Linked DNA regions of Drosophila melanogaster. The protein of the gene in region 2 purifies or fractionates together with the protein of the main gene of each other region. This does not show direct contact. Each region holds a gene or a part of one and is shown on either strand. Other genes may lie near its edges. The genes, in order: eEF1alpha1 and dwg.

The links.
Region 1: the proteins of dwg (region 2) and eEF1alpha1 purify together in Drosophila melanogaster (affinity purification with western blotting; one study listed by BioGRID). This does not show direct contact.

Annotation. Positions count from the first base shown.
Region 1 is NT_033778.4:11,889,048-11,902,364, reverse strand, and holds eEF1alpha1 (eukaryotic translation elongation factor 1 alpha 1), read right to left. Parts: upstream 11,231-13,317; 5' UTR 11,121-11,230; intron 10,970-11,120; exon of another isoform or gene 10,900-10,969; intron 10,244-10,899; exon of another isoform or gene 10,181-10,243; intron 9,243-10,180; exon of another isoform or gene 9,170-9,242; intron 8,824-9,169; exon of another isoform or gene 8,811-8,823; 5' UTR 8,791-8,810; coding exon 7,399-8,790; 3' UTR 6,845-7,398; downstream 1-6,844. Other genes in the region: Zip48C (Zinc/iron regulated transporter-related protein 48C), read right to left, coding at 1,378-2,403; MCPH1 (microcephalin), read left to right, coding at 1-7, 3,303-3,446, 3,727-3,818, 3,888-5,256, 5,551-5,769, 5,833-6,240; ERp60 (endoplasmic reticulum p60), read left to right, coding at 11,546-11,694, 12,976-13,317. UniProt on the Drosophila melanogaster protein: This protein promotes the GTP-dependent binding of aminoacyl-tRNA to the A-site of ribosomes during protein biosynthesis.
Region 2 is NC_004354.4:2,725,868-2,737,299, forward strand, and holds dwg (deformed wings), read left to right. Parts: upstream 1-1,830; 5' UTR 1,831-1,964; coding exon 1,965-2,396; intron 2,397-2,677; coding exon 2,678-3,067; intron 3,068-3,129; coding exon 3,130-4,086; 3' UTR 4,087-4,175; downstream 4,176-11,432. Other genes in the region: fs(1)Ya (female sterile (1) young arrest), read left to right, coding at 1-624; vilya, read left to right, coding at 840-1,360, 1,425-1,617; ttm50 (tiny tim 50), read right to left, coding at 4,649-4,839, 4,899-5,022, 5,082-5,610, 5,667-5,850, 5,923-6,181; CG2712 (uncharacterized protein), read left to right, coding at 6,698-7,303, 7,364-7,618, 7,689-8,333; crm (cramped), read right to left, coding at 9,136-9,237, 9,310-9,461, 9,529-9,901, 9,970-11,432.

The DNA.
Region 1 (13,317 bases), on a different chromosome or scaffold from region 2:
AATGCCGGTAAGTTATTACTAATTGTGGCTTCTGTTGCATCATCGATCTTATTTATATATTCAAATGGGGATAAATGGGGCTTAAGAAGATAACTTTTAATTGTCACCATTCGGCTTTATAATTTAGCTTGCCTTCTCATAATACTAAGCTCACTGCAAAATACCCAATAACACATTGCAAAAATAGGCTTGTATGTACGTAGATATTAAAAGTTGACTTATCAAGGTCTTCATACAACTTTTAATATTCTTATCATATCATTATTTGTTAGGCCTAACAACTTCCCAAAAGCTTTATCAGATCTAAGACGACAATGTACTTTCGAGTTCATCAACTCTGCATTACATTTTGGTTGGAAATGGCAGCTTTAACTTACACTTCGATTACAAAAGAAATAGGTCTTTAATTAGTCTAATCGTTGACACTATCAATTTATGGCATTGCGGACACAGAAGCATTAACTCCACTTGAGATATGCCCCCAACTAATAGGCCATTCATACCGAGTTTATGGTTTTATGGCGCACATAAAGAACTATATGGAAATTGTACAACAGATAGCCGGCAAGAGGTCTTATCGACCACTTTTCCTGATGACCACGATCACAGTGGGTGGACTGTGGCCCAAAGCACTTGTGCGAGTACAAACATACATATCTGAAATGATTAGTTAATCCAGAAAATGGCGAACAGAAACGCAGGACCGCGGGCCGTCTGAAACTGCACGTATCTCAAACACGGAATACGCGCAATATTGGGAACTCTTCGTGTCGGACAGATTCTTATCACTTATCACTGGCTGACAGCGAGTCAACCAGCTGTTGTTGTTGTTGGCACTCCGGGTTATCTAAGTGAATTTACTTGCCCTTATCAGCTATCGTACGGCCAAAGAAACGGTCAGGAAGTTGTCCGGACGGAGACAGCTACATTTGTGAGGGAAAAAAGCGAGTGGGTGCAACTGAGAGATGTTCATTTGAATTCGTTTAGTTTATTACTTAGACATTAGACGGTTAAAAAAGACACAAGCTACTGGACGCCGGTGACAACTTAAAACCTAATTCACATGCACGTTTGTTTACAAATTTTCCTAGAACAGTTCATTTACATAACTCGCTGGGAATGCTGTACAGATACGTGTGCACAGATACACAATTGCACGGATGTCGTCGCGGCATCGCTGGTTGTCAAGCTTCTTTCTACAAAACTTACACTCTACGCTAGATTATTAGATTCTCGTTTAGGGCTGGTTCTGAGATTTGTACACAGCATGCTTCTATTTACAAGACAGCAGAGTTTTGCGTTAAGTACAGTGGAATCTTTGAGTTTAGCACTAGATTATGAAATCTGCGAGGCGGGCGAAGGCGAGCCGTTCGTTCCTCACGACAGCGCCACCTCCAGACACATCATGATCAGGAAGCCGGATACAGTGCCCCACGTGGCGATCGTTCCATTTCCGCTGGCATGAGCCTCCGGCAGAATGTCGTCCGACACAATGTATATCATGGCTCCGGCCGCAAAAGACAAGGCGTATGGCAGGATCAGGTTGGCAAAGGTCACCGCCACGGCGCCCAGAACTCCAAAAATGGGCTCCACCATTCCGGACAGCTGTCCGTACCACAGAGCCCGCTTCACGCTGAATCCTGCGGCATGCAGTGGCAAGCTGACAGCCAATCCCTCGGGGAAGTTTTGAATGCCAATGCCAATGGCCAAATTGCGGGCGCTCTCAAATGTCGATGAGTTCGTGGAGCCAATGGCACCAAAGCTTACGCCCACAGCCAGCCCTTCTGGAATGTTGTGGACCGTGATGGCCACGACCAAAAGCATAATCCTCTTCCACTGGGACAGGGCGTCCTCGGCGCGCTGCTGCTCCTCAGGCGTGGTGTAGGTGCACTGCTCCATCTCGTTGATGCTAGCTCCCTTCTTTCGGCGTCTCGATTCGCCGCTGTGCTGCACGCTAAGGCAGTCGGAGAAGCTGTCCAGACTCTTTGAGGCCAACCTATCGGGGGCAACTCCATTGCGCTTAGAGTCCTCGATGGCTATGTCCGCCTTGGCTTTTGATTGCGTCATCTGGATCATCATGTTGGTGCTGTTAAGGCCCAGGTATGACATCAATTTGTCGCATCCGTAGACGAAGATCGATCCCAAGAGGAAGCCTCCAGCGACGGGCAGAAAGGCGTATACTCCGTACAAATGGGAACTCTCGGCCATTTCGATGGCCGGCTTGAGGAGTGACCAAAAGGAGGCTGCTATCATTACGCCAGCTGCGAATCCCAGGGCGGCGTCCAGAGACCTCCGCTGGTTACCCCGGACGAAGATCACTAGGGCGGCGCCAGCGGCGGTCAGTCCCCAGGTAAGCAGGGTGCCCAGCAGAGCCTGCGTGACGGGTCCATAGCCTGGAATCATCTTGCACAGTTAGAGCTGCTTTTCCGTGCCCGTCACCGGCTGGTATGGAATTGTACTCCCGAGATTTATTCGCGTGTACACAGACAGGGCGAACAAGTTTTCTTAATTGTTGCGCAGCAATTGTTTACCCGCCCACAGTTGGAAATGTGCCACGTTCTTGGGCACTGATTGCTGGGTAAACAAAACAACTGAGAACCAATTTCAATGGAGTTTTAGATTCTGTGTATGTTTCAAGGGAATCTCTGGAACACTTGTTGCTGCTTATCGTATTGTTTTTGCGGAATGCTATTGCGTTTCGGGCGGCGGGGCAATTTCGGGGGGACGCGTAATACTGACGGGTTGATAAAAAGGTCTACTAGCTCTACTAGAGCGCGTCGGAAAGTGATGAATGAGCCGCTGACTGAGCTGACAGCCCCACAAAAAGCAATTTTTATAGGGCCGCTGGCTGTGTGCCACGGCAATCGATAGTAGTGTTATCGCTGGCGTCTATCGATAGACGGCGGCCGCTAGGGATGGCACTCGCAAGGCGCATTTATTCAAAATTCGTTACCGAACTCTGCTACTAAATCATTATTGCTCACCTCGGATTTGACTTGTAATTTTATTAAATATCATTTGATATTCATTTAACGCATAAGCGAGCACTATCGATTGCGACTTGATGGAACCATCCTCTTGGGCAGCGAGATGGTCTCATTGTAGATAAGAAAGTTTTCTATTTAAACAACGGGCCAGATATCACGTAGTTATGAACAAATAAAACAGTGTTTTCTAGTCAACATGACTGAAAAAAGTCGGCAGCATCCGCAGCATCAACAATAACACCAAAGGGCATGAGCTTGCTCACCGTAGTTGCAGCTACGCAGCGTTAACTAATTTTAAAATCCCTTAATTCGCAGCGCGTTAAGTTCATGCAGCCGGACTCCGAGTTGAATCAGCGACCCCGCAAACGCCAAGGAACACCCACATCCTCCAAGGACAACGAGCCAGGATCGACTAACAAACGAGCCCAGACCGGAACTCCAACAACCACCACACCAAAGGTAATTGGGCTCAGTATTAAATATTACAAATATTTATTATGAAATTGAGATATTTGAACTTTGTAGGCATAATGAGCATAGTTCTATACAATTAAATTAAAATAATCGTATACTAATTTAAATAGATATGTGTATATGTGTCTGGTAAATATTTCATTAACATCAATTTGTATTGCATAGATAAATTTTAGGCCCCTTAAATGAGCAATTCTCAGTAGTCATTATCACTACAGTAGAATGTTTCTTTTGATTCAAGTATTAAAATGTTTTCTCTTTTCAGAATGACATCAGCCGCTTTTTCAGAGCCATTAACCACAATAAGCCATCGGATGATGAGGCAATAGAGTCGCCAGCCACCAAACTACTCAACAGGTGTGTTTTCTCAATAATATGCCTGTACAAAAATCTTGTCTGCTAAATAAATAAAATCTTTAACCATAGGATAAGCAGTGGATGCTACACTCCTTTGCCGGCCGGTGGCACTCCCCAGCTGATGGGAACCAATGGTAGTGGAGATGCGGTGGCCCAAAAGGTGCAGGCCCAAAAGAGTTTGCAATTTGGAGAGCAGACGGACAGCAATACCCCCCAGGCAAAACCATCGAGCACTTCACGCCCACGGCGGAGCACAGTGGATCCACCGCCGGTAATGACGCCACCAGTGCGCACCACTCGCCGTCGTAGCTGCGTAGCTGAAATCAGCAGTCCTGCTGCAACGGATACGAGAATGACCCGCCGCAGAAGTTCGCTACTCACTTCCACGGTTATTCACGAGGCCGATCCAACTCAAACCGCAGTTGCGGAACCCAGAATGACTCGTCGCAGGAGCTCATTGCTAGGGATTGCCAAACAAGCAGAAGAAACCGCCCAAAGGCAAACCATTCAACCCATAACGGAGGAGCTGGCTCCCGTTGAAGAGAACAGGAATTCTATAATTATGGCCGAGACCAATATAATCAACAACACCAATTGTCTTGAGCAATCAATTGAGATAACTGCCGTGGAGGCAGAAGCTTCTTTTAAAGCGGACAGACGTGGCACGCTCTATGCCTCAGAATTGATGGACATAAGTTCTCCTCGTCGGCGCAGCGTGGCCAAGTCGAGCTTAGAGTTGAGGCAGGAAAACTTAGCTCCGAGGGCCAGGCAGTCGCTCAGCAACGTGACTACTCAGACGTCCTTTTTAGACGTTGAGCAGCAAGTGACGCCGCTGTTCAGCTCCACACGACTGCCCACAGGCCAGACTACAGGAAATCGCAGGCGAACTATTTTTAACATGGACATGGACGTGATCAACGAGAGCATCGAAAGAATGAACCAGTCACATCGAATGTCCCTAGCCTTGGCCAATAAGGCGGAGCTGGGCGAGTCTTGCCAAGTCCATGAACAAGAGCCACCGCAAGCAGAGCCAGTCCCATCACAAGAGCCCAAAAGGCGGCGCCTTTTCAATCCAAACGACGAGGTGGTCATTTCGCCAGCGATGAGCAACAGAAAGAGTCGTTTGAGCATAACCGGATCCGGATCATCGAGCTCGGTGCAGAAGCGTCGACGCTCGCTAGCCACTCCCGCAAAGTCTTCATCATCAGAGTTGTGTGCCACGACTCCTCTTTCCAAAGCCGTCACAAACAAGGAGGCAGAAAAGTCCAAGAGCAATACAGAAATATCTGAGGCTTCGTTGGATGCCGTTCCGGAAGTGAAGAAATCTACATCAAACGCCGGGGAAGAGAATGAGAAACCAAAGGGCAAATCACGTACACGGATTCGCACGCTAGTCCACACCAACATGCACCAGGAGCAGATCAACGTCATCCGCAAGGTTGGTAATACGACGGAGTGACCAATATACCATCCACATCTCCCTCTGATTGTAACCGTTGTATAGCCAGTTTTGCAACTCCACTAATGGATTAGTTAGTAGTAAACCGTACTAGTTTGTAAATTAGCATATTCACAACTCGTTAATGGTCCCATATTAATTATTGATTAAGCATAAACAACACTCGGTAGATTGGTAGCGCAGTAACTCATTTGTAAAGCCTCCCGCACAGTTGAATAAACAATATCCGTGGCGGTTATAAATCCTAATCGAAAAAACCGCCTTCAATCCCAGGCCCTGCGCAAGTTACGCGGCATGCGGCTGGATCCAACCGTGACCCAGCACACCACCCACCTGGTTAGCCTGGAGCCGCGACGTACCCTGAATCTCCTGCGCGGATTGATGCGCGGAGTCTGGATAGTTAGCTACCAGTGGGTGTTGGCCTCCATTCGGGCTGGCAAGTGGATCAATGAAGAGCCCTATGAGCTGACCAGGTTTTCGCGTGCAATCGAGGTAAGCTCTATGCTTTCTCACCAGTAGCTACTTACTAACTCATTTCCGTTTCTAATCCTTCAGATTTGTCGTACAGAAAGGCAGGCCTTTGGCGTCCACTACCAGTGTGAGTTGTTTCGCTTTATGGAGCCCTTCTATGTGTCCTCCCTCTGCCGACCGGTGCAGTTCAACAATATGAAGGAGCTGCTCCTGCTGGGCGGTGCCACCCTGACCGAGAACCGCTTCAAGGCCAAGTACATCATCGGGGACAAGCGGCGCGCCGAGGACGATCGCGTCTATCTCGATCCTTACTGGGTGCTGGACAGCATCACGAATATGCAAATTCAGCGCTTTGGCAAATATCTTATGAAGAGCGCCATTATCTCGGCCGATGGGATCCGGTACGAGGATCCTAGGGATCGCGATGAGGACAAAACACAAAGAAGGCACCTTCACGACTTCGTCGATCCACCGTTTGTGCTGGACAAATAGAGATCAGTGGGTGCATCCACTTCACTTTACTAAATATTTAAGCTAGGACACACAGAGTACCATTTTCCCACACTGTTTCACCTTTTTGTGCAAATTACTCCAATGTAAATATAGTTATATTTAAATCCATATATGTATTTTACGATCTTAGTTTATTTTCTAGTACATTTTTTAATTTGTTTTTATACAGATTTTACGAAGGAAATAATATATCCCATAACTTTAAACAGAAATTATAAAAAAACACTTGTTCCAACTTCGTTCGTTATTATTTAAATAAATAAATCAATGCATTTTTCTCTATTTGCGATGAGAAATAAAAGCCCCCCCCCCCCCCTCAAATACAATAAAAAATATTCATTATTCTTCAGATGCAATTGCTTGCTTTATTTAAACGATTGAGGTATTTGTTGTCAGATTCAATTGTTGTACTCTTCGACTAGCTCTTGTTTGTACTTTGTGGCATCGACGATAAGTGAACTTGGAGTTAGGGACGATCGATCATGGCGCTGAAAATCGGGAGGCAACAAGCAAAGAGAGTGCTCTTTTACGGGCTGGGTGGTAAAAACAAAAGAAATACAAAAATAGGGTTTTTATTTTTTTTGTAAATATAGTTATCGCTTCTATTCTGGTTCTTTTCTTGTGTACAAAGTAGTGTGTGCAAAAGTAGGGTAAGATAAATGATACATATCAAAGTATAAAGGTTAATTTAAACGATATCATAAATGCTACAGAGGATTCCTATATATGATATGATAAAACGAAGTCAACTCCGTGCATCATACCATATTTAGTAAACTAAAGATCGACGGGGAAGTGGATGAGGAGTGGATGCATAAATGCAAGTGTTTTCCCAGTGTGCACTCTTATCCTTGGGATCCACCGTTTCCCAATTTAGGCGGCCTCGTCTGCATTTAGCATTCGTATCCGTCGAAACTCCTTTCGATGGAAGAAATTAAACTTATGCTTCTGCTGAAACATCATCTTATCGGTCATCTTGCGCAGGACAGGTGTTGGTGTTATACTACTATTGTGTTCGCTGCTGCTGTTGCTGGTATTATTGAGTGGTGTTGTTGGCTGCATTATGATGTTGGTTATATGCTTGTTGTTGCTGCTACTACTGCGTGTTGTTGTTGTTGTTGAGTGGAAGCAAACCAGCTACTTCTTGCCCTTGGTGGCCTTCTCGGCGGCCTTGGTGACCTTGCCACCGGAGGCATCCTTGAAGTTGACAGCCTTAATGACACCGACAGCCACGGTCTGCCTCATGTCACGCACAGCGAAGCGACCCAGAGGGGGGAACTCCTGGAAGGCCTCCACGCACAGGGGCTTAGAGGGCACCAGGTTGACGATGGCAGCATCGCCAGACTTGATGAACTTGGGGTTCTCCTCGGTGGTCTTGCCGGAACGACGGTCGACCTTCTCCTTGATCTCAGCGAACTTGCAAGCAATGTGAGCGGTGTGGCAATCCAACACGGGGGTGTAGCCGTTGGCAATCTGACCGGGGTGGTTCAGCACGATGACCTGGGCGGTGAAGTCGGCGGCTCCCTTGGGGGGGTTAGCCTTGGAGTCACCGGCAACGTAGCCACGACGCAGCTCCTTCACGGACACGTTCTTGACGTTGAAGCCAACGTTGTCTCCGGGAACGGCCTCCTGCAGGGCCTCGTGGTGCATCTCCACGGACTTGACCTCAGTGGTGATGTTAGCAGGGGCGAAGACCACAACGGTACCGGGCTTCAGCACACCAGTCTCCACACGACCCACGGGTACTGTTCCAATACCGCCAATTTTGTACACATCCTGCAGGGGCAGACGCAGGGCCTTGTCGGTGGGACGGGCTGGGGGAAGGATGGCATCGAGGGCATCGATCAGGGTCTTGCCGTCAGCGTTACCCTCCTTGCGCTCCACCTTCCATCCCTTGAACCAGGGCATGTTGGTAGAGGGTTCCAACATGTTGTCGCCGTGCCATCCGGAAATGGGCACGAAGGCAACGGCGGCTGGGTTGTAGCCGATCTTCTTGATGTAAGAGGACACTTCCTTCTTGATTTCCTCATAACGGGCCTCGCTGTATGGTGGCTCGGAGGAGTCCATCTTGTTCACACCAACGATCAGCTGCTTCACACCCAGGGTGAAGGCGAGCAGGGCGTGCTCGCGGGTCTGGCCGTTCTTCGAGATACCTGCCTCGAATTCTCCGGTTCCGGCGGCGACAATCAGCACGGCGCAATCGGCCTGCGAGGTACCAGTGATCATGTTCTTGATGAAATCCCTGTGTCCGGGGGCATCAATGATGGTCACGTAGTACTTGGCAGTTTCGAACTTCCACAGGGCGATATCGATGGTGATACCACGCTCGCGCTCAGCCTTCAACTTATCCAAAACCCAGGCGTACTTGAAGGATCCCTTTCCCATCTCCTGGGCCTCCTTCTCGAACTTCTCGATGGTACGCTTGTCGATACCACCGCACTTGTAGATCAAGTGTCCGGTGGTGGTCGACTTACCGGAATCGACGTGTCCGATCACGACAATGTTAATGTGAATCTTTTCCTTGCCCATGTTGGATGATTACACTATGGCTGTTGTGTGTATTCGAGTGTTGGATTGACGGAACGTTGGAACATTGGAAGGTTGCAGGGTTCGGCGGGTTGGCGAGCAAGAGAGGTTGGAATAAACAAAGGGTAAAACAATTCGTTAGCATTCGGTGGGATTACAACTACAATTATTAGTGGGTATAACACTTTCTCATTTCCCTAGCGTACGTTCGACTTTTGTTTGCATGCGCGAGCACAACCTAACCTCAAACTCTTGCAGCCGTACAAAACGTGTTTTTTGAGGTTAGGTCCAGTGCCCGCATGTAAGGGTGTGGGTAAAACGAGTGGGGCGCAACTACAGAAAAGAGCGTGCAAATAAAATTCCATATGGAAACTCGATTTTGTTTCAGTGATTTTGGTATTTTTGCTTTCGTCAACTGTCTTCAGTAGCAGAACTGAAAAATCATCATCATGTTAAATCGAAGAGTCCAAAGGAAAATTCCAGCAAATTTAATTCGCAAATACACATGTGCTTATCTGCCTATGCGTGTGTATATCTATGCCTGTGTATTTGTGTGACGCTGTTGCCGGCCGGAGGAAAAGTAAGAGAGGAATAGAGAGAGAGAGAGACCAAAATGGCGGATGTGCATTAGTGTGCGTGTGTGACTTGTACAAATGCAAGCGATCTCGCCGCGGTGGCACAATTGGTAATTGGAAAGAAATGAAAAAGAGAGGGGCACACAACGAATTATTCAAGAACGTAGTGCAGCGGCAGCCATTTTACCAAAACCAATTATGGAGTCGGTTGGAAATGGCGAAATAGCTGATGCGAGTGCCATTTCACCAGATATGCTAATGGGCTGGAAACCCAAAAAAGCACATTTTTTCGCTTGTTGCCAGGCGAATTTTTTTCGCCCACTTGACTCACGCCACTGGGTCGCCATTTTAGAATTCCATGCCGCAAAAAGAAAGAATAAGGAATATCTATAGGTCATGACAAAGGCAAGAGAGAAAGCACGTTTTTTTTTCTCGGTTAATGAGCACATCTGGTGGATGACCTCTGTGTCCGGCGTGGGCGTGGCAAAGTAATTACACACTAAGTGCACCATATTGCAGGGCGAAAATGCGGCCGGAAAAGCCGGAAAATTATTTTGAGAATGCTGGGAACTTTAACTGGGAACGCCAGTTAAAATTTTTGCCTTTGCAGACTTGCCACGTGTTTGCTTCTATGGCCACCTTTCACTTTGGAAAACCGCAGTTAGAGGTTATCTCCGGGTTTATTACACACACACAGGAAAAACACTGGAAATATGCACAAATTCGGCGTCTCAGCTGCATATTTGTTTATAAATTGTTTTCTGGCTGCAGTCCCGTTGCAGAAATTACTTAATTATAGCCTCGCAGGTAAAACTTACTCTCGAATAAGCTGAATGAGAAATCACGAAGTCTAAGCGGCGACGGATTCGAACAAAGTGAACGAGCGTTCGGCAGAGCTCAGCACAGGAAGCCTCGTTTGACACATGGTGTGACCGAAGCTACGCAACTGTCAAAAGAGCAGAAACCGTGTTCTCACTGCGGTGTTTCCACTACGCGCGAATGAAGCACTTCATTTTATTGAAATTTAAGTGATTGAAAGTGGCAAAATACAATAACCTAACGATTGAGGGATTTAAAAAACCTTGTTTGCTCGACATTGTTTTTATATGAAAAACTAAATAATCAGTGATTCCAAAAATATTTTCTACAAAACGATGTCTATAATTTCTATACGTAATATTGGAACACATATCTCTTAATATTTAAAAACTATAACAATTGCATTAGTAGTCCGCATTTTGAACTTTTAGACTAGAACCTGAACTTTAATTTGTATGTGAACCCTAACGTAATAGAACTTTAAATAACAATAGAAGCTTGAGATCGTTTAAATTTATGTAATACGTTTCATTTATTTATACATTTTTTGGCGTCCGTTGCTACAACTAAAATATGCTACAAATAAAACTATAAGTAATTTGGTATTGTATCAATTTATACAATATTGTAAAAATTTATAACTTAAGATCTCACGTTTTAATACTTTTTCTTCTGGAATTCATCAGAATGCTAATATTTATTTGAATTTGTAACTTACTGCTTAATATTTTTTGTTAGACTATTTTTTCACTCAGTTTTCACTTGTACTCAATAAATTTATTCATTGTGCATAGAACAAAAGTTGTTAGCCTGCCCCTTATATAGGACGCAATTAAAAGTTCCTAAGTGTTTTCCTAATTTTGTGAAATTAATTAATTAGTTATTAATAATATGATTATTGTTATGCTTGCGAAATCAGTTAACAATAAATGCAATTACCATCTTTTATGAAATGATAATTTGACAAAATTTTATTATAAATCGGTATCAATTAAATTAATTTAAATCTAGATCTCAACTTTTCTGTGTGACTGGAAAGAATTATAGCTAAAGCATTTAAAACCCACACATATAGACATTAGTCATTAATAAATGATGAGCCATCTTTATTTATTGTTTACATATGCAGGAAAGCTCACAACTGAGAGCTTTTTCCAACTTTAGACATTTTCGGCCTAGCCCCACCTGGCCACACTACGACGAAACAGAATAAGAAGCGACGTGGCGAAAGAGGCAAAAAGCGAATTCAATCGTTGAAAAATACCGAACCGGTCCGGTACTCAGTTTTTGTTGTAGAAGTAGGCGTTCGACGGCCTAGTTGAACTTGAATTATTCACCGATATCGCTTCAAGTGAACCCAAATAATGATGTGGCGCCTTGCTGGAGTGCTCCTACTAGGCTTCATCGCCATCTCGTCCGGAGCGGAGCAGGATGTCCTGGAACTGGGGGACGACGACTTTGCCACCACCCTAAAACAACACGAGACGACGCTGGTCATGTTCTACGCCCCCTGGTGAGTTAGTGAGTGGGCGTGGCCGGGCGCCATCCTACAACAAATGCATTGCGTGTGCGATTCGCGTATAATCCGCTTGTTGCGTCCGCAACTTAATTCGATTCCCAATGCCCAGTGCCGACCGATGCCCGATTTTCCGGCCATCGCAAGCGCAAAGTACACGTCAGCGTTTGCCTTGCTTTTGCCGGCAAATAAAGAAGGAACGAGTGACGGAACGAAACGAGACGCAAAGAGAGGGGCAATGATGATATGCCAGTATTGGTGCCGTCGGCCATTTTAGAGCGCGGGGTGCCAAAGTGCCTAGTTGGTACAATTTCCGTGCAATTCCTGCTCCACTTGTCCACTGGCTAATGATAGTGAGCAGGCATAGGGGCCCCAGTGTACATAGCGCATCTTTTATTATAGTTTCTTATGCCTATGCATTATACCCATAATCCCAGGAATGTGTAATTCTAAGGGTTAACTTAGATTTAGCTTGAAACTGGTTATCATAGTCTGAAACACTCACAGTTCTCATACAAATGTAATTTCCCAACAGTTTACACCAACCATATTAAAACTTCAATTTTAATTGCCTGCCTACTCACAAAAGTTATGCTGATTGTGCTATAAATTTCTCATGTCAGTAGACACATTTTTAACTTCCATCGTAATCCACACTGAACACAATAACCTTTTAATACATTTTTGTTTAGTACATAACACATATTTACTGTGCCTATTTACTCTCTTTTGAGCCATTTGTTTGCCCATTATCAGGGGTAAACTATAAGCTCACACTTGGACAATGAACTAGGTAAATTATTAGCGTTTTTTTTGCCGGCCGGCTTTCGAAATCCCCAAAGAGCTGTTGAACTACTTGGCATGGAGACTTGATTCCCTCATGACGAACCTTATCAGTATTCAAGCATAAATACACAGGGATGAAGTTGAAAAAGTTGTACACTGCAATAAAACTGCTCTTTTCATTATAACATAGTTAACTTAAGGCATCACTTATCTTTATCAAAAATGAATTATTATCTGCACTGCTAAGAGTGCAGACTATACTCTGCTGTTTCAAATAAGTACCAAGTCGTTTTTCTCTCTGTATGCCTAATGGGCACTTGTACTTGTGTGATAAGACAGTTGATAATTCCAGCACCCTTACTTTAATTACAAGCTAGTTTTTTGGGAACTTGTCTTCCCGTTGCCTTGATAACAAATGATGAATTAGATAGTATTGTTACCAACATAATGTTTAAGTGACGTGTCCTAACAGAGTGTTTTTTCCTGTTTAAGGTGCGGCCACTGCAAGCGATTGAAGCCCGAGTACGCCAAGGCGGCGGAGATCGTGAAAGACGATGATCCGCCAATCAAACTGGCCAAGGTTGACTGTACGGAAGCTGGAAAGGAAACGTGTAGCAAGTACTCCGTCAGCGGCTACCCAACGTTGAAGATTTTCCGTCAGGATGAGGTGTCGCAGGACTACAATGGACCACGCGAAGCCAGCGGCATTGCCAAGTACATGCGCGCCCAAGTGGGACCCGCCTCCAAGACCGTGCGCACCGTTGCCGAGCTGAAAAAGTTCCTGGACACCAAGGACACCACGCTGTTCGGCTACTTCAGCGACAGCGACTCCAA
Region 2 (11,432 bases):
CCGGAAATTCCAGAGCGTCGTCATCGCCAGGCGATTGTGCCGCGCCAGCTGAGCGGCGAGTTTTCGCCCAAGAAGGATAAGCCGAAGGAGAAGGGGCTGGCGGTGATGGCCCTGATCTCGCCGCCATTGCAGCAACCCAGGGTGCGTCCTCCGTTGCGGGAATGCCGTCAGCAGAGGGTCTATAGCGGCGTGCAGGATGTGGGCGAGCCGGAGGTCGTGGACGCAGAAGAGGAGGACGAGGTGTTCCGCCCCACAAACGCCTCCACGTGCAACGACAAAAAGCTGGAGGCGCCCAACTCCGGTCGCCTGTGGTCGCTGATGAGTTCCATGATGCGACTGCCGGCCAGCTTGCGCGGCGAACGCGAAAAGGACAGGGACAGGGACAGGGATTCGGATAAGGAGAACGCTGGTTCGGGCTCACTCATCCGTCGCTGCGCCTCCATCGCTGGATCCCTGGTGCGCCCCAGTGCAAGGGACTCCTCCATGGAGGACCAGCAGTGCCTCAAGAGAAAGCGCACTCAGACGCTGGACAGCCAGTACTGTAGCCCGCTGTCGCCGTCCAGCTCCTCGAAGCGCTACCGCATCCGGCCCAGGGAGCCCATCGAGCGCATGCGTCGCCAGTAGGTTTTAAGCTTTTGCCTGCGAATCTGTGTTTTAATTGTGAAATTCTTCTTTTTTTTTATCGTTTAATAAATGTTTGGTCTTGCATTAACCGTTATGCGCAGCAGGAGTTGGCAGGTCCAGGAGCTTAGCTCGTCTCATTCAGAGCTGCCAACTCTATCTATTGATTCTGTTATTAATTAGTTGCGCACAAGATCGAAAAGCTTAACGGAGCGCCCATGGCGAAATCACAAGCAGGTCAGACTGTCGAGCCGGAGGCGTCCAAGCTGTGGATCCACTGCAACAGCTGCTGCGCCCTGTTCTGCGATAAGAAGCACACCTTCTTCCTGCTCGCCTGCCATCACGTGTTCTGCGAGCGGTGCGTCAAGGTCTCCGCCGGCCGCACGCCCAGCGACGCGCCCATATTCGAATGCTCCACCTGTCGGCGGAGCGTGCGCGGCCGCCAGTTGACCAACTCGATGCCCAACCACTTCAAGCAGCTCTTCCATCCGGAGCCCTTCACCATCGGCAACGACTTTGTGGAGACGTTCCAGCGCGGCAATCATCGGCACTTCGACAAGTACAAGGAGAGGAAGGAACTGGAGATGGATAAGCTGTTCAAGGACATCGAGGTGGCCAAGTCCGTGTGCCAGAAACGCTTCCTGGAGGCGCAGATGCTGCGCGTGGAGCGCAAGAAGCTGATGCAGAGGTCGCGCTACATTAAGGCGGAAGTCGCCAATCGGAAGGCGGAAATGCATCGGTGCGACATTTGGATTCCATTGAAAATAGTTCCCATTAATGCATTATATTTCTACCCGCCTTAGGATGGCCCAGGCCTACCGAAGCCGCTCGCTGACTTCGCAATCCTCGTCATCCGCCCAACGCTCGGCGCGCGGACGTCCTCGTGGCCGTGGAACAGCCACACAGTCCTCCAGTCGACGCCGATCAACGGAATCAGCAAAGCGGCAGCAAATCACCAGCTTCATACACCCGCCGAACAACTCGTTCGATCTGTGAGCTAGTGCTGATAGGTAAAGCTCTGTTTTACAACCGAGTATATATTTTTTGTAAATAATCAGCTTAAAACAATAAAATGGTGTCATAAGCTTTAAAATAATAAACTGCTAAGTTAACAGCGACCGTTAAGTTTCAATTAACAGTTTCGTTAGGATAACAGAAGTGTTGAAAGTGAATTCGATTAATCGAAATCCATCGATGACTGCTGCACCGATAATATCGCATAAGCATCTGCTCTAAAAACGCATAAAAATTGAATTGCAAGAAGTAGAAGAGCGAAACGTCATAAAAGCGGCAAATCCGGCGCTGTCCGACAAGAACCACAGGGGAAAGCGGATAAGGACATCATGATGAATAGCAAGATCGCCGAGGTAGTGGTGCTCAACTGCCGGACGTGCACGCGTGCCTGCAAGCTGCACAAGCCGCTGCAGGAGGAGATCGATCTGGGTTCGGAGGGCAGCACCACGCTGGCCAGCATGCTAAACTACTGCACGGGACTCTCGTTCGAGCCGCAAGACGGCGCCGCCATGCCGCAGCACATCTGCCTCCACTGCCTGCAGCTGCTGGAACAGGCGTTCAACTTCAAGCGCATGGTCATCGATTCGGACGAGCTGCTCCGCCTGGGCCTGGACGAGGCGCGCTGCTCCAGCTTTCACGAGAGTCAGACTCATAGCCCCAACCAGAGCCAGCAGCACGACCAGCAACAGCAGGCGTTCGACTCCACCGAGGAGTACGTCATGATCGAGATGCTCAACGAGGAGCAGGAGAACGTCGCCAATGTAAGTATCTATCACTTCACGGTGCAATGGAATGCAATGGTTCTTGTCCACTCCCATAGAGGATTAACGATTGCTCACAGCGGGCACCAGTCACTCAAATCGATTCACTTATATTGTGGCTCTTTGGGATGTAGTAGGGTAGGTCGGTGCCAAAGGAGTGCAACCTGTACCTCCATACAATGGATAACTTGTCTGCTCTTGGTGACACTACGTCTAAATAGGAGATGGGCTTCATCAAGTCTAACTCCAAAGTAAAACCATAACACCTTCTTCATCCGCAGTTGGATGAAGAACTAGCAGAGGAGGATCGTCGCATCTTCGCGATGACCGTGGATGAGGAGGAGGAGTTTCTCACCGAGGAGGTGGATCAGGATGACGAGCTGTCGGAGGAGGAGCACCAGCTGGCACAGTCGGGCGACCAGCAGGAGGAACACATCACTATGGAGAGCGTGCATGAGTTTCAGCCCGCCGAAGTGGAGTATGTGACCATTAAGAATGAGTTCGAAACGATCGTCACGGAGGAGGATGAGTTCGAGGTGATGAACGACTCCGGCGCCCACGACGCCATACTGGACTGTCAGATGATTGTGATACCCGCCGAGGGAGCCATTGACGAGGTCATCGGCGAGGAGACCCTCGAATTGGAGGGGGATGGGCGCGAGGAGCATCTGGTGAGAAAGGTCAAATTATATTGCACTAGAATACCATTTATCCTCCATTCACCTACACACAGCTGCCGGAGGCGGAGGATGTCTGCGAAGATGAGGACTTCCTGGAGGAGTCGCTGGACTCAGCGCCGCCGACCGCTGGCGAGGCGCTGCCGTACGTGTGCACCGTGTGCCAGAAGGCGTTCCGCCAGCAGTGCCGTCTCAACCAGCACATGCGCTCCCACGTGGACGAGAAGCAATACGAGTGCGAGGAGTGTGGCAAGCGTCTGAAGCACCTACGCAACTACAAGGAACACATGCTGACACACACAAATGTCAAGCCGCACCAGTGCAGCATATGCGGCCGCTTCTATCGTACCACCTCCAGTCTGGCAGTGCACAAGAGAACTCATGCGGAGAAGAAACCCTACAACTGCGATCAGTGCGGCCGCGGATATGCGGCGTTCGATCATCTGCGGCGCCACAAGCTCACGCACACGGGCGAGCGACCATACGCCTGCGATCTGTGCGACAAGGCCTACTACGATTCGTCCTCGCTGCGCCAGCACAAGATAAGCCACACCGGCAAGAAGGCTTTCACCTGCGAGATCTGCGGCGTGGGACTGTCTCAGAAGTCGGGCTACAAGAAGCACATGATGGTCCACAGTGGCGTCAAGGCGCACAAGTGTGATGTTTGCGGGCATGCCTTCACCTTTACCAGCAACCTCAATGCCCATGTTCGCCTCCATTCCGGCGAAAAGCCGTTTAAGTGCGAGGTCTGCGTTAAGGCCTTTCCCACAAAGAAGCGACTGGCCAGTCATATGCGCGTCCACAACAAGGAGTCGCCGGTGACGGCCACCGTTGCTGTTCAGTCCATCAATCCTCCCAGCCGACAAGCGGGCGCAGAAGGTGCGACAGGCGGAGGTGCGACAGGTGGAAGTCCGACCGGTGGAGGTGCGACCGGTGGATCGGCAACCAACCTTCACATAACCGAAGTTCATGAGCAGCCGGTGTCCACCTCCAAAGTGGTGATGGTGCTGTGAGCGGCCACCAAGCCGTGGGAGCGGCTCTAGAATGTAAGCCTAGGCTAAGGATTAGACACTTAGTTCAATAAAACTGATTTTTGTTCCAGAAAAAACTGAAAGAAAATTCGACACTTATTTTTTACATACATAAAAATAATTTTGTTTTCACGATAACTATCTCAGCAGGTTTAGCCACTCTTATCCATCAATTGTGATTAGATAACGCACAGCAAGTTCTCCACTTTCGTAACGAAACACATGGATGTCTTGTTTTTGGTTTTACGGTTAAGTCGTCTCTTTATAATAATAATATTACGATTAAATTGCCAAAAAACAAAAACAAGCAAGTTTAGTTATTCAATAAAACAAAAACATGCGCCTCGTCTTTTCCCAAAGGAGCAAAAGACAGAGCGTGCCTCCCAATCCTGCTGTCTGCTGTCTGCTACTGCTTCCCACTAACTACTCCAAAAGTCGACGAAAAATATGGCCAGTGTGCTGCTGCAGGGCGTGTTTGTTGCTCCGGCGCAGGCGGAAGGTTAAGGTATGCGTATGGAACGGGTTGTGCGGTATGGCCAGCCTCCTAGCGGCCGAGAATGTTGCGCGACCACTGTTTGACCATTGGCTTGGTCTTGGACTGCTCGATGCGTTCCGCCTCCAGCATTTGTTCGGCCAGCTTGCGCTGGTTCTCCCGGAACTGGTTGATGGGATCGTCGAACTGGCGATAGTAGTGGAGCACCTCGCGCACGTCGTCCACGTTGTTCTGCGCAATTACTGTAGCGAATTGCAAGGGTCAGTGTTTAGCTTTCAATGTCACTTGTGGCGCAACTTACTCTTTAGGAAAGCGATAAGGTCCAGCAGTTGGCCATCATCGTCGTTGCCATGCCAGCGGGCCAAGCCGAATGTGTTGTCCGGATGCATCTTGGTGGCATTCGCATCCCAGTCCACAACAATCACCTAAAATACTCCCTTCTTTATAGATGATTGCAATAGAAAATACGTTGTGCATGACTTGCCTTCTTGAGGTCGCGATTAAGGTTGTCCAGGTTCTTCACATGATGGCCGTCCACAAAGTGCGTGGCATCCCTGACCAGGCGGTACATAATGTAGCCGTTGGGATCGAGGGCATCCAGGATGGGGAACACGGTCATGCCCTGTTCGGCGGTGAAGACGACAATTTCAAAGTCCTTGGCGCACTCGGCCAGAAAGTGGTCGACGCCGGGACGCTTCTTGAAGCGCCAGCCAGTTTGGTAAGTCCAGTCCGGATGCACCAGCACGTCCTTCATCTCCAGCACAAGCGTGTAGCGCGGCTGCACGTACGGCGGCTTGAGCGGATCGGGCAGCAGTTTGGCGCGCGACGGCTCCTGGATCATGCGCTGATAGTAGTGAATGCTCTTCCACATCCGCTGCAGATACTGCTGTACCAGCGGCTTGTGTGTGAACTCGTCCTCGATGGGCTGCCCGTTGGGGTCCACCTCGGGCTTGCCGAACTCGTAGACGGCCCAGAATCCAGCAGCCACGGCGCTGCCTCCGAATATTGCAAAGCTGCAGCAGGAAGTATTGTTATAATACTGTTACGCATTGAATGGGCGTCAGCTTACCCCAGCTTCATGCGCTTCCAGGCACGCTCGTTCTCCTTTTCCTCCTCCTCCTCGCGCTTCTTGCGCTCCTGCTCGGCGTTGCTGTCCACCTCCGGCGAGGTCTGAGGAAAGAGCTTGGCCAGCAGCGGGGCATTCGGTGCGACCTCGGGCGCATCATTGGGGCCAGTGGCTCCAGCTTCCTGCTCTGCGAAACGAAAGTGGCCAAGGATGAATGTTTAGGACTCTACTGTTTAGGACTCTACCGTGAATCACTTACTGGTTGTGCTGCTGTAGCCACGCGCTGTGTGCAGGATCGAGAAGAGCGCCGGAGCAGCCGCTGGCAGTGCTGTGCAAGTGAATAGTCGGAGGTACTGCTGCTGGTGGTGGAGGAGGTGGTGCTGGTGCTGGTAGTGTTGGTGGTAGTGGTGGTAGTGATTACCCAATGCGCGGTGCTGGTGGATGTGGGTAAGAAGACGCGGCGTGCTAAGGCCGCGCAGCAACTGGAGGACGGTGGCCGGTGCCATGCTCATGCTCATGCTTCCCCCTTCCTTCCCGATATCGAGTCCTAGAGCCGTTCACGAGTCCTGCTCGGATGGCAGCGACTTTTTACTTATAAAAAATTCCAACAAAAATTTCAACTTCCCACCGGCACGGCGTTGGCGTTAGGGATTTTATATACTGTCCACTGCCAGGCGGCACCAGGCGTTAGTACATTTAGCACGTGGCTCTCAGCAGGTATAGATCGGCGATTTTCAAGCCAAATCTGGCGGGATTTTGCAGATAACTGCGTGTGTACATATGTTGCCTCCGGCAATCTGACTAATCACAGTATTAAGAAAATTTTAAATTAAAATATTTTAAATAATATGGAAATACACAACCTTTGACCAACCACCAAGCCACTGTGCCTCTGGTCACTTCCAAGCTGATGTGCCTGGCTAGCTATTTTGAGTGCCACCACTAACGCATCAGCTGGACTTTGGCATCACTGTTCGGGACGCTAAATTAAGTTATTTATTTAAACGTGTATTATCTACTGTCGAGTTCAATCCATGACGACCATGTCGCCGCCGTCCCCCATGGACGCCTTGTGCCGCGTGTGCCACACAGCATCGCCGCGCTGCCTGCCGCTCTTCAAACCGCTCGACGATCCAATTTCCGGCAAACCAGCGACGCTGGCCAGCATTTTAAGCTACTGCAGCGGTCTGGAGATCCTAGAGGCGGAGCTCTTCCTGCCCCACCACATCTGCCCGGACTGCGTGGCCAAGTTGCGGCTCTCGCTGGAATTCAAGCGGAGTGTCCATCGCATGGACAGAATTCTGCGGCAGAGTCATGCGGACTTTTGCCGCAGCAAAAAGATCAGCGCGGTGAATACTAGGGCCAGGCTGTCAACCGAGATTCCGGAGGATTTTGTACTCGTGCTCGATGACCAGGAAGTGACTGAATATCCAGCAGAAACGATACGAGATGAGGAGCAACTCCTGGTCGTAGAATCAGATGAGGCGGAGAGCCGGCTGGAAGCGCCAATTGTACAGGAGGAGAGGCTGGATATTGCACTGGAACAGCACGAAGACGATCTCTGCGAGATTGTCGACGATCCGGATCCGGAGCAACGTAGGAGCAGGTTAGAAAGATCCGAGCCAGCGCTGCAATGTCCCGTGAGTTGCCTTTCCGAATTAGAAGTAAGTAATCACGAAATAGTTTCCCATCTTCGGCAGATTTGCGGCAAACAACTGGCTAGGAAGCGGACCTTTCAGTACCACATGAGGCTACATGGCCAGCCAAAAATTCGCCAAGAAGACAACGACCACTGCATTGAAGAGTGCCTCCAAGTGGAGCCCGTTTTGCAGGCCAAAGCTGGCGAAGATGTCTACGAGATTGTGGAGAAATCAGCACAGACTTCGGCGACGCAGAAAACTTTGCCCAGTGGAAGCCGGCCTTGGAAACCCCTCAATCCCTCCCTACAGTGTAAAGTAAGTTGGTCATCGCAGCTCGCAAATAACTCAAAGCCGAAGGTCATCAATTCTCCCTCCATTCCTTTAGATCTGTGGCAAGCAACTAAGCACCAACAACTCCTTCAAGTACCATATGCAGCTACATGGCACGGCCACGCCCTACGTTTGCACAATCTGCGGAGAGTCCTTTAAGACGCGAAACGCCCGCGACGGCCATGTCACGCTGCACGATCGTAACAATCCGAACAGGTGCCCCACCTGCTTCAAGGTCTACCGGCAGGCGTCCTCGCTGCGCACACACCTTCTAATCCACAGCGGAATCAAGCCATTCGAGTGCAGCATCTGCGGCAAGAGGCTAACACAGAAGTCGGGCTACAAGAAGCACATGCTCACCCACACGGGCGAGAAGCCGCACGGCTGCGACATTTGCGGCCGTCGCTTCCGCTACTCGAGCAATCTGATTGCCCACAAGCGCTGCCACAGCCAGGAGAAGCCCCACCCGTGCCCGGTGTGCCAGAAGCGCAGCTTCGGCAGCACATCCGAGCTCAACCGCCACATGCTCGTCCACAGCAGCGAGCGACCGTTCGGCTGTGAGCAGTGCGGCAAGTCCTTCAAGCGCCGCATCTCACTCGCCATCCATCGCCAGTCGCACAAGGCGGGCAGACAGCGGAGGCGGGCCGAGCATGAAGTGGGTGTCCAACTGGAGGAGCAGGACGAGAATGTGGAGACCTGAAGCTAGATCGCTTATACTATCGGCTTAATGTACAAATCGGGACATTTAGTTTTAGTTCAATTCGCTTTTATTTTCGGTACTTTCCTTCGCACAATAACAAGTTTTAAGTGTGTTCCTATTGTTAGGATAAATTTGATTGGTTTTCCCACCCAAAATAATGCGTGTTTCATACATACATATATATTATATATGGTCAACAAACATTTCGAGTCTTCTGACGATCCTTTCGATTTGATTTAATGTAATGAGCTTTAGTTTATCAGGTGGAGGCGGGAGAATCTCTATACATATGGAAGTTTCGATTGGGTTTTGTAGTTGATAGTGGCTAAGGGTGAGGGTGCGGGTGCGGGTGTGGGGACCTTAAGCTAAGCTACTATGCTGCATTGAACTTACGCGCTAGAAACCAATTAGAGTAGTGCGGAACGAGTGTGCGAGCGGGTAACAAACAAAATGGGGCTGGGAATTAAAAGTGTGGATTGGGAGCTACGCGTTACGCTGCCGCGCGATACATAAAGTTAATGTATAAATAAATATATATGTTCAGACAATGTGAGTGCTTGCTAATACTTGGCATACATAAAATGAGTATAGATCACAAAAAGTCGCGTAAAAACATAAATGTTAGTGGGTATAACGTGGGTGGGTGGGATGAGTGAGTAATGAGTAATATCAGTGGGACATGAGGCTTGGAGGCACACGTGGCTTTCCTTTCCATCGTCCAGCTTGGACGACTCTCATCTCAAGATCCGGACTTGGGTACACAAACGAAGAGGACACGACCGGATTGCCGCAGTGGCCACTGCTAATCTTTCTCCTGCTGCTGCAGCAGGGCGGCGATTTCCTGGAACTTGTGCCGAAAGTCCACGCTGCTCTCGCTGATCACCGACATGCTTGACGACGGATCCTGTGGATTAGGTTAGAGGTCGGTCCACAATGAATGTCGCAAGTGGGGAGTGTGGCATGCGTTCTGGCTTACCAGTATATCCCTGGTGGCATCAATCTCATCCAAATGCCCCAGCAGCGACGTCAACGAGAAGTCATTGATATTGTCCTCCAGCCAGCGTGCGTTGGATGTTGAATCTCTGAGCAAGTGCATCGGACTCATGCTGCCTTGGAAGAAGCTTTGAGCTGCCGCGAAGAAGATAATATAAAATTTATACAAAAATGAAAAGCGAAAACATGCTGATGCTCCTACTTGTGCTCCCGTCTTGGGCCGCCTCGTTCAGGGAACTGCTGACGTCCGTCCTGTTGGTGGCCACGCAAATGTCCAGATTGGGCATGTCTCGAGCGCTGACCTGCGTGGCCTCGTCGTTGAGGAACTCCAATGCCCCCTGATCCCCTGGCTCTTGATCCTGTGAAGCGGTCGTGGCATTCATGCTGGAATCGGGTTTCGAGCCAGAGGTGCTGATGCCAGCGGAACTTATGCCATCCACGCGATCAATCGGCTCGAAAAGGCCACTGTGGAGTTGGCGCACACTCAGCAGATCGTACGGACGATCGCCAGCGGATGTGGGTGGTAGGAGACGGCGCTGCACAAGCACCTGACGACTGATCTTTTGCCGTGTGAGCTAGAATGCACGCAATGAATGCAAATCAATTGGGATTTGGGTAACGCCAATAAGGAAAGACCACTTACCGCTGAGAGTTGGCGCACAGGATCGATGTTGGATATCGGCCGCCGCACTGGCAGCATCGGCGTTCGGAAATTGCCCTCAACCATGCCGCCCACTCCGCCGGTGGCCGTCGCCTCTGCCAGCTGCTGCGCCTTGGTCATCAGGTCCCGCTTGCGATCGCACGTGTGGCCGCAGTTGCATTGGCGCTTGCGCACGCGCTCGCTGAGATTGGCCACGAGTAGCAGGTGCTTCAGCTTGTTGCTCACCGACGATGTGGTGACGGCCCTGACGCGTTCCACGCTATCACAGTCGTTGGGATTGTAGGGCAGCGAAGTGCTCGAGGTGCTCGAATTGCTCGATGCGCTGACGTAGCAGTTGGAAGATGCGCCTGTTTGGTTGGCGTTCGAGGCGGCGCTGCCGGTTTGGGTGGCCACCGACGAGGAGCTAGGCGTTACCGTGTTGATTGTTAGTATGCTGGATGCCATGGCCGTCGAACTGTCGACCTCACACCAATAATACTCCAGCTCCAGCTTGGAATCCTGGCCAAAAACGACATACAGATCACCGATGGTTATATCCGCCGCATTCGCCTGCGTCCAGCCCTTGCGGATTCTCTTCAGTATATCGTCGCTGAGCAGTGGCTTAAAATTTCGAGCCTGTGCCGCGGCCGCCGCCTCCTTAGCTTCTTTGCGTTTGGAGCGGGCTACGGATGGAGCCGCCAAAGAACCGGTTACAGGAGTCGAAGGAGCGGGAGCTGCAGCACAGGAAGTTTGTAGAACAGATGTCGCCATGGCATTAGATAGATCCGCGTTGGCCGGATAAGCCTGTTGTACAGGATCGTGCGATGTTTCAAGCGCAACAGCAACAGTTGTGGTATCACCAGTGGTGGCCGAAAGAGCTGGAATAGTGGCTGCTTGCGGATGCTGCATGGCCTCCAATATATCGCCCAGAAACTCATGAATCTCCTCGCCCAGCTCATCACCGCTGCTATTCTCCATCTTCATCAGATTGCCCTCCAAGGGCCCGTCGTCCAAACTCTTCTCCAGCGGCGGGCTGGCACTCGATTTGGGTTTCTTTGTCTCCGGCGAACGCTTCTCGGAGCCGCTTTCCGTTCGTAGTCGCTTGTTGGCCGCCACCGACATGCCGGCCAAATTGCCCAAGGTCTCGCTGCGCACTTTGAAGCCCATGCGCTCCTCGTATGCCGTCAAGCAAATACTGATGCTGCTTAGGTAGGCGGTGATGCTGAGCAAAGGTCGGTGGATGGCCACTCCCGGCCGGGGCTGGAAGCACATTGAGGGATCCAGCGATGCAACTGACGGCTGTAATGGTTCCGTTTCATTGTTGTTGTTATTGTTGTTGGACGCAGCAGATGGCAGGCTGCTGGAAAAGTATGCACTCTTCTCCTCGTGCAAACGCTGATTGGCGCTGCGCCATTTGTACTCGAACGTCTTGATGAAGCTGATTAGTTTCTTGTGCAGCGGAACTA